2 linked regions of the Cricetulus griseus genome follow. The protein of the gene in region 1 purifies or fractionates together with the protein of each later gene. This does not show direct contact. Links are inferred from orthologs where the notes say so. Each region holds a gene or a part of one and is shown on either strand. Other genes may lie near its edges.

What was found. The genes of interacting proteins can lie anywhere in the genome.
Region 2: the proteins of Tbp (region 1) and Taf9b purify together in Homo sapiens (affinity purification with mass spectrometry; 3 studies listed by BioGRID and IntAct, with this or other methods). This does not show direct contact. The link is inferred for Cricetulus griseus from reciprocal best matches to the Homo sapiens genes TBP and TAF9B.

The regions. Positions count from the first base shown.
Region 1 is NC_048595.1:294,451,800-294,456,232, reverse strand, and holds part of Tbp (TATA-box-binding protein), read right to left. Parts: intron 4,063-4,433; coding exon 3,971-4,062; intron 2,800-3,970; coding exon 2,632-2,799; intron 1,481-2,631; coding exon 1,386-1,480; intron 730-1,385; coding exon of another isoform or gene 650-729; exon of another isoform or gene 5-649; intron 1-4. UniProt on the Homo sapiens protein: The TFIID basal transcription factor complex plays a major role in the initiation of RNA polymerase II (Pol II)-dependent transcription.
Region 2 is NC_048604.1:64,531,815-64,536,786, reverse strand, and holds the start of Taf9b (transcription initiation factor TFIID subunit 9B), read right to left. Parts: upstream 3,380-4,972; 5' UTR 3,286-3,379; coding exon 3,235-3,285; intron 2,686-3,234; coding exon 2,604-2,685; intron 2,294-2,603; coding exon 2,157-2,293; intron 2,081-2,156; coding exon 1,946-2,080; intron 987-1,945; coding exon 911-986; intron 1-910. UniProt on the Homo sapiens protein: Essential for cell viability. TAF9 and TAF9B are involved in transcriptional activation as well as repression of distinct but overlapping sets of genes. May have a role in gene regulation associated with apoptosis.

The DNA of each region.
Region 1 (4,433 bases):
GGTCTCAGGTATTATATCTAAAATAAATTTCTTTGACAGTATGATCACATGACTCTTACAAGGTATCATTTGTAACAAAAATCTAACAATTTACAGGCTGCATTTTTTTGTGCAGAGTACTCCAAAGAAAGAAAAGTATGTACATTTGTTTTGATTAATACAACTATTTAGAGTTCTGCAATACTGGGAAGGTGGAATGTATCTGGCACAAAAATAACTCCTAAGAGTTAGAAACTAGAAAACAACACTTTTAAAAAAAGATTTTTACTTTTCTGGTAGAAATATAAAAACTGGCTTATGTGGGAAAAGTTAAAATAAAAAGTCCAATTGTACAGGTGGCTTGAACACTTAAAAGTTCTGTCCCTTAAACCAACAAACTCATCAACAGCAGTGTTTAAAATCTAAATATAAATAAATGGGCAGTGCTGCCCAAGTAGCAGCACAGAGCAAGCGACTCACAGTAATGCTGCAGGGCAATCGATCTCACTGCAGAGGAGGTAACCTTTCAGTGTCCTGCAGTGGGACACACGGTGTCACTTCATGCTGCCACCTGTAACTGAGTGTCCTTCTCACAACTGTACCATGAGCGGTACCAAAACTGACGGGTTTTAAAAAACAAGTGGGTAGGGGAGGCAGGACATGGCAGCCACTATGTGGTCTTCCTGAATCCCTTTAAGATGGGGTAGATGTTTTCAAATGCTTCATAAATTTCTGCTCTAACTTTAGCACCTACAAAGACACATTGGAATAGAAACGAGATGGTTTAAGTAACATTTCTTAAAATAGAAAGTAACATCATTACCTTAAAACAAAGCCACAAATACAGTTCTCTCCATACCCAGTTAAGACAAACAAATGGTATTAAAATAAATGGTGGAGGCCCTTTGTCATAATCCTAGCCTTCCTTTTTTCTTTTTTAAGAGACAGGGTTTCTCTGTATAGCCCTGGCTGTCCTGGAACTTGCTGTGTAGACCAGGCTAGCCTGCCTCTGCCTGCTGAGTACTAGGATTAAGGGCCATGCCCCGCTCTCCAGCTTTTGTTTTTAAAACATTATTTTCTTAGCGTTTAAAGACTTTTAACTCTAGACCAGCATTTCCTCACCAGTTGGTCGCAGGCCAGGATCCACAAGTCAGCAAGCAAGGCAATACCCCCCACCCTCCTAGTATTCGTGTTTCCTCCTTGCCTGCTGCCACAGTCAAACATAGTCTAGCCGCAGGCTACAACTGTAGCAGAACTCTAGTGTTTTCACTCTTCCCCCTTTCTCATGAAGGATGGGAAGCAAAATGTAAACAAAATCTTCCTTACAAGTGGCTAGGCAGTTGTCCCAACACAGAAATCCCATCCTAAATTCTTTCCAAGTTTGGTACTCTATCCCTTTAACTTACCTGTTAATACAACTTTTCCAGAAACAAAAATAAGGAGAACAATCCTGGGTTTGATCATTCTGTAGATTAATCCAGGAAATAATTCTGGCTCATAGCTAGAAAGAAAATGGGAAAACAGTTTAGGAATCACCAGTTTTTTTTTTGTGTGTAAACACAATGAGGCCTTGTGTCAGGAAGTACTGAGTGAACAAGCCAGGTGTCCACAAATAGGACACACAAGAAGGAAACACTTTCACCAAGCAAGAGCCAAATGGCATGGATATGGCTTTCTATGCTGTCCTCACAGAATCTAGATTTTCTATGATAAAAACAAGACTGTATACTCACATTCTCTGACCCTCATTAGGTTCATTTTGGGCAAGTCTAGGGATAGCAGCTTAATCTCACCATGCACTCTTAAGAGTTGATAGTGGCAGTCAACCTTGTAATCATACATCACCTTCCTGAATAGAAATACTCTAACAGGGTGACTTAACCAGAGTGACAAACCATGAGCTTGGAAATGAACCTACTCCCTGATCACATCATCTACCTGAACTGACATTAATGAAATTCTAACCTAGTGATTTCAGGTTTGTTTAATCTGATAAAAGGACCTGTGTGTCTTATGTGTAACCTGGAAAAAAACTCTTTTGGGACAGGTTTATATGAAAAGGAGCAACACTGACTATCTGAAACTCAAAAAGGAATTTCTATGTTAAAAACTGAACCTAATGTGCCAGGTATAAAAGTACCATGTGTAAAGGCCCTGAAGCAAGAGGATTAGGGTAAGTGTGAGGGGGCTGGTGAGCTGATGTGGCCGCAAATAGAAAACAAATAACCGAGGTAAGGGTGAGAAGAAAATGGAAAGGAATAATAAAGGACAGCACATCCCTGCTTGCTCATTTGTATACTTTGCTGGTGTGTTGACAAAAAAGATTCAAACTAGGAGAAAAATGGTAGAAGAAACTACAAATTTATTTATGTAAATGGATTTACTGACTAACAAAATGATAAGGCATACAGAAGTGATCTGAGTCGCTCCAGGGAAGGAGTTTGGGTGTCGGTCACTGAGTGAAAGAGGGCAGCAAAAAGTGCAGTAGCACAATTGCAGAGATACCTTATGTTTACATGGAGCACACTCAACTTGCAACTACATCATAAGCTTAGAAACAGAATGTCTTACATGTACTTCACCCTGAATGATGCCTGAGTAGATAGTAAATGGATTGTTGCTAACACTAATCCCAATATCTCTCAGACCTACCTGCTGAACTGCTGGTGGGTCAGCACAAGGCCTTCCAGCCTTATGGGGAACTTCACATCACAGCTCCCCACCATGTTTTGGATCTTGAAGTCTAAGAACTTAGCTGGAAAGCCCAACTTCTGCACAACTCTAGCGTATTTTCTTGCTGCTAGTCTGGATTGTTCTTCACTAAAGAAAAAAGAAAAAACAGTGAGTATGTACAGAAGCCTAATGGAGTAATTCAGAAGAATAACTTAAATGGAGTCTAAATTAGAAAACTAATTAAACTATCCCTGTGACCTTAACAGAAAGGATAATCTACCAAAACATCAGCCTTGGATTTGCCAGATTACCGACAAGCTCTAGGTTTAAAGGATGTGATGTAGCATGTGATTCAATTATGATCATTGCTTTTACTACATTCTGACCCACAAATATCTACTGAGATGGAAACCTCATTTTTATATATAAAAAAAAAAATACTAAAGCCGGATGGTGGAACACACAGATTTAATCCTACCACTTGGGAGACAGAGGCAGGTGTATCTTGAGGCCAGCCTGGTATACAGAGCAAGTTCCAGGGATACACAGAGAAACCCATTTTTGAAAAACAAAACAACAACAACAACAAAAAACTGAAAAGACTAGTAAAATTTACTACTGACAAATACATAAATTCTATCTTCCTTTACATCAGATCTCCATCCACTCTTAGGACAACATTATTGGATGGAACTGACTTTCCAACTTAGCTTTCACCACAAAAGTAGGATGCAAATACTAAAGTACAGGAAATCAGGGGTAACAAAAATGAGAAGTGGGCATTGATGCTATTCAAAGTGATTAGGATAAACCATTAAAGATAACACATTGAAAGTGTTAGTCCAGGGCTGGAGAGATGGCCCAGTAGTAAAGAGCTGTGGCTGCTCTTCCAGAGGACCTGGGTTCAATTCTCAGCACCCACATGGCAGCTCACACCTGTCTGTATTTCTAGTTTCAGGGGACCCAGCACCTTCACACAGACGTACATGTAGGCAAAACACAAATGTACAGGAAATAAGAATAATATATATATGTTTGGTTCCAAGCATTTGAAAAAAACATGCTAATCCAGCAGGGCGGTGGTGGTGCACTGCTTTAATTTCAGCACTAAGGAGACAGAAGCAAGCAGAATTTTGTGAGTTCTAAACCAGCCTGGTCTACAGAGTAAATTCCAGGACAGCCAGGGCTACAGAGAAAAACCCTGTCTCAAAACAGACAAACAAACAAAAGTGCTAGCCTGATAATAGAAATGATGATATATCCCTTTTCTTTGATAATACATCCACCAGAAACAAAGAATCCCTTAAGAGTACAGTACCTCTTGGCTCCTGTGCACACCATTTTCCCAGAACTGAAAATCAGCGCAGTTGTCCTTGGCTCTCTTATTCTCATGATGACAGCAGCAAACCGCTAAATGGTCAGAAAGAAACATTAGAGTTGCACTTATGGTGACTGATCAGAGTTTCTGTGAAGAAAACTCTGGGTTCTGAGTCAAACTATCTTGGCTACACCAGGTATTCCTATCAATGCATTAAAAGTTTCTTTTAGGCCGGGTGGTGGTGGCAAACGCTTTTAATCCCAGCACTCAGCAGGCAGAGGCAGGCGGATCTCTGGGAGTTCGAGGCCAGCCTCGTCTCCAGAGTGAGTGCCAGGATAGGCTCCAAAGCTACACAGAGAAACCCTGTCTGGGGACACACACACACACACACACACACAAAAAAAAAAAATTTTCTCTGGTGCATGTAAGAAAGTTTTTTTAACATATGCTAGGCTATCAGTCT
Region 2 (4,972 bases), on another chromosome or scaffold:
CACCTCTAAAATCAAATGCTAGCTAGGCAGTATTCCTCAACTGTAATCTGAATGCTCAAAGGCTGGAGGATAAAGACTTTTAAGATTATCCTGCATTACAGATTAAGACCCAGCATTTAAAAAAATTAATCATTCTTATACTAGAAGTGTAATGACACTGGAAAGACTCAAATTAAAAGCAGCAAGAGCCATGAAATTAGTACAAGTGAAAAAAGAAGAGGATTTTTTCCCTGCAAAACATGAAAAATCAGAAAACATGAAAAAAATCAGAAAGCTTGTTTTTTTTTAATTGTTACAAATAATGGTTCCTAAACACCATTCACTAAAAAGAACTAAGGGTCTTTGGAAAAGTGGTTGATTCCAAAAGCTGGAAAAGAATATAAGACAGGCTTTGACCATTGTATGTCAGAAATGTACACAGTATGATGGAGAGCTATTAAATTCATTATGGGACACACCTTGAGGGTTCTCACTGACCAGTATAAGATAATTACTATGATTTTCTGTTTTGAAATGGAGTCTTTCTATGTCACCCAGGATGGTCCTTGTACTGTTTTTTAAAAGATAAGTATTAAAACCTGTTTTTAAGATCCTTGAGCTTTCTATAGATTTTAAACTTCTTTGAACCTGTACTCAATTTATGGAGTTTCGATTAAGTTGGCATGGGTGTGCTTGGTGACTCGAAGCATAAAAGGTCTAAGTGTTTCTAGAATCACAGTTTATAACAGTAAGAGTTGGGCCAATGCCATTTGGGATCAGTCTTTGTGGGTTTTTTTTTTCATTGAGTAAAATTATCATTGGCAACATACCAGAGTTTCTGACTCTCATTTTGACTTGGGTTATGGTTCAAAAGCAAATGCTGAGACGATGTTTTCACTGTCCAGAAATGCCAGTTCCCTCTTTAACTTACCTACAGTAGGAGTAGTAGGTCTGCTACTGACAGCACCAACACTTAATCTAGGAACTAGTCTTCCTTGGTTAGGTCCCTAGGGGATTTAAACACAAGTTAGTTTTAATGTTAAGATTTGACACCTAAACTTGATGAAGAGTGAAAGTATAACTTGATGTGAGTTAATAGTGCATGATCCAATGCAAAAATGTCTGTTTTAACTGTGTTTTCTTTTTCTTTTGGTCATGCTACTGAGGACTGAACTCTTCTATGATTTAAATCCAATATTTGGAGTTTTTGCATACATACATACACAGTTAAGACCCTATCTAATTCGGCAGAGTATTTAAGGTAGAGTCTTATGAATGGAGACAAATACAACTTAGTGTCTTAACTGTGCCTAAATGAAAACTGTCTCACAGCAGAGTTTCAAAGATATGGAGAGTTCCTTTCTCAGTGCTGAAAGAGCCTAAGGTCATTCATATGTCTGACAAAGGTCTACTTGCCGATGGCAATTTACCTCATCATTGCACCTCTCTCTCTCTCTCTCTCTCTCTCTCTCTCTCTCTCTCTCTCTCTCTCTCTCTCTCTCTCTCTCTCTCTCTCTCTCTCTCTCTCCTCTCTCTCTCTTCTCTCTCATACACACACACACACACACACAAAAAAAAAAAAAAAAAAAAAAACCTGTGGCAAAGTACAAAAACTGAGCTACTAGATCTGGGAATCAGTCCTAGCTCCATGAGCCCATGAGTTCAGGTCCAGTTGTATGATGAGAAAAGTTCCCACTGGGTTAGATGAAATAAAGTTTTTTCTAGCTCTGAAAATTAAAAAAAAAATTCTAAGGATCATTTTAACCTTTACTATGCTATCTACAGGAAGTTTGCTTTTTATAAGTTTGCCTATTCCACCTTTTAAAAGACATAAACCATAAACTGAAGCTTCCTTTTTTTGAGATAAGAGATTGGCTTAGCTCAGGATTGCCCTGAAGACATAAGGATGACCTTGATCTCCTGATCTTCCTGCCTGGGATTCCAGGAACAAGCCAGAAATTCTTACCTTTTTAATTAAGGACTTCAGCCTATAGTTTGGAGCTGTTAAGCAGTATCTATCAGGTGGCAGTCTAGGTCCTGCATATGGCTTAATCAGTGGCAAAGGAGTTTGATTTTTCTGCCTTGCAATATCTAGTAAAAACTAAAAGAAAAATCCTCATTAGAAATATGATTTTTAAAGTGTAAGTAAAAATAACTGCAAATAAATGTTTGCTTACATCTCTTGGGGGAGGAGAGGTAAAAGACTGGTCAGCCCGACACTGGATTGCCAATCTCACATCGTCTGCATCAACAGTAGGTTTCTTAGCATGACTTGAATAAATTTTTGCATCATCCAGAATCGTGGTCACATATCCTTTAAGAGCAAAATAATTTTTTATTACATGAAGACATTAATATATATTAAGACAAGAATCTTAGTATTTATGGCTCCTTGTTTTAAAAGGTTCCACTAGTTTCTGGAACATGTAAGACTTGATTTTAATAAATAATTGTCCTATTCACATGATACTTTATTTAAACAGACATGCTATATATAAATACTACTGTCCCTTAGCTTGAGCTCCTTAGTGCTTTACTCATCTCTAGATTGGTAACAGAATTTGGTTTAAAGTGCTACAATAAATGATCCTTTCTAATTCACAGTCAATTAAAAAGAAACTTACGGAAAGCAAATTCCAACATTTGATTTATAACCCTTGGCTCATACTCTGTGATTCCCATATCCTTCAGGATCTGTGCCATCACCTGTGGATTCAAATAAAAACAAAAAAAAGCAGATGCACAATGTGGTATATTTTTATGTTTGCTACAAAGTCCCAAACTGCTCCTCCTTGTACCTTCTGCACACACAAAATCAGTCATATGCTCTTGGTGAAAACTTATTTTAGCAAGGATGGAGTAAAGACACAAGGCCTGGACCAGGTTTCCAGGCAGAGGTAGGGGTGGGTCCAGCTGGCTGTCATTTTCGGATGTGACAGTGAGGGAAGCTAGCATCGGAACCCACGACGCTGTCAGGGCTCATAGACTGGGTGAAGAGAGGAGGTTTCAGACCTGGGGGACCGGGGGCGGTCCGGATCCAGCGAGACAAAAGCCCCCAGGCAGCCCGCGCCCCTCTGGAGGGGCTCCCCGGAGCGTGCACGGCGCCCCAGGGACCGGTGAACCCCACTACCCTTTCCCAGACACGTCGCCCAGCTGTAAATGACACGCAACCCCTTTTCTCCCCGCCAGGCGCTCAGTCGGGTCGGCCACACAGGGCACCTCCTGTGTGCCTGGCTTCCCTCCCCTCCCACTTACCAAGGCATCTCTAGGCGCGTTCTTGGGAGGCGCCATCTTGCTAGACTCCATTTTCTCCTGCGACTCTTCAACCAGGCTGAGAGAGCTGCAGGCTGATTCCTCCTCGCCCAGGCTCCACCCCTGTGGGGGATGGAAGGCGGGCCTAGACTGCTGCTCGCAGGCCTGGGCTTCTTCCCAGACGCTCGCCCCCACCTGCGTGGGCGTGGCTACCTCAGACTGGGGCAGCTCCAGGCTCTGTGATGGAGAGATACAGAGAAGTCGTCCTAGTAACGCATCCCTAGCTCTGCTCAGACCATTCTGATACCCCTTAATGACCACCTGTCCTTTCAGTTTCCTGGAATTCCCGCAGAGGCCCTTCCTCCATCTAGTCTTAAGGTGAACACGGCACAGACAAACTCAACAACACCTTACATCTGAATATCACATTAACAATGAATACATTTTTCTAAGCGTATTACCACATTTACCCGGGCCATACTGATACTGCAAAATTATTTGCTGCTTAGCTGACATTCAAATTTAATTAGGCATTCTGAAATCTCTCTTTTCTAAATCTCACAATCCCACCAGCGTTTCTTAACCTGTAAATACCAGATATTTACATTACGATTCATACAGTTCTGAAGTAGCAATGAAATAATTTTATGGAGATTCAATTTAATTAATATTTTTATTTAATGATTTAAATGTAATAATTTGAACATTTAATATATTTATATATTATATTTAACGTGTAAATATATAAAAATACAAATAATTATATAATATATAATTAAAATTTAATAATATTTAGTAAGTTTAATAATCACTACAACATGGGCAACAGTATTAAAGGGTCGAAGCCTTACGAAGGTTGAGAATCACTGAGATAGACAGTACTCTGCACAAGTAGGGCTTTGGTCAAGCCTACATAGGCACCTTCTTCCCTCTACCCTTCTCAAACTCCGAACAGTTCACTCCACTAAGGTCCAAATTGGGTCCTTTCTTGCCTCCCAGATTGCCCAGTCCCATGTTTTTCAGAATACGTTAGGCATAGGGAACAGCAAAGAAGAGGCCATAGCGGGTAAAGGCTCTTCCTATGAGACAAATTTGATGACCTGCCCTCCTCTACAAAATGCCCCTGGGCTTGAGCGCCATGATGTTCATGCCATGGCACCTATTCTCCCGACCTCCAGAATTAAAGACATCAGTTAACAGTCTCTAGTTTAAAAGGTGTCAAAGAGCCGAGCGTTGGTGGCGCATGCCTTTAATCCCAGCACTCGGGAGGCAGAGGTGGGCGGATCACTGTGAGTTCGAGACAAGCCTGGACTACAAGAGCTAGTTCCAGGACAGCCTCCAAAGCCACAGAGAAACCCTGTCTCGACCCCCCCCCCCAAAAAAAAAAGGTGTCAAAGAATCCTGTTCCTACTTGCATCAACTGTTCTATCTACCTTCCGCCTTTGAAATAGTTGCCCTGACCCCCTAGATCAGACACGACCTATCATCCTATCTTTCCTTTAGCCCCTTAAGTAGGAACAAGTCCTATCAGGGTGACCTTACGAAATTACATCACATCTCATCGTGTTTCGCTATTTAGTTCCAGAGCTGTGACGGTAAGAAACACCTTCACACCAACTGCGTGCTAAAATGGAACGAGGCCTCCTTCACTTCCGCACAACCGAAGGGAATCTCTTATGTATAACAAAAACTGTTTTACTTAAAATTCTCCGGTAGTACTCCCCCCGCCACACCTTAAACT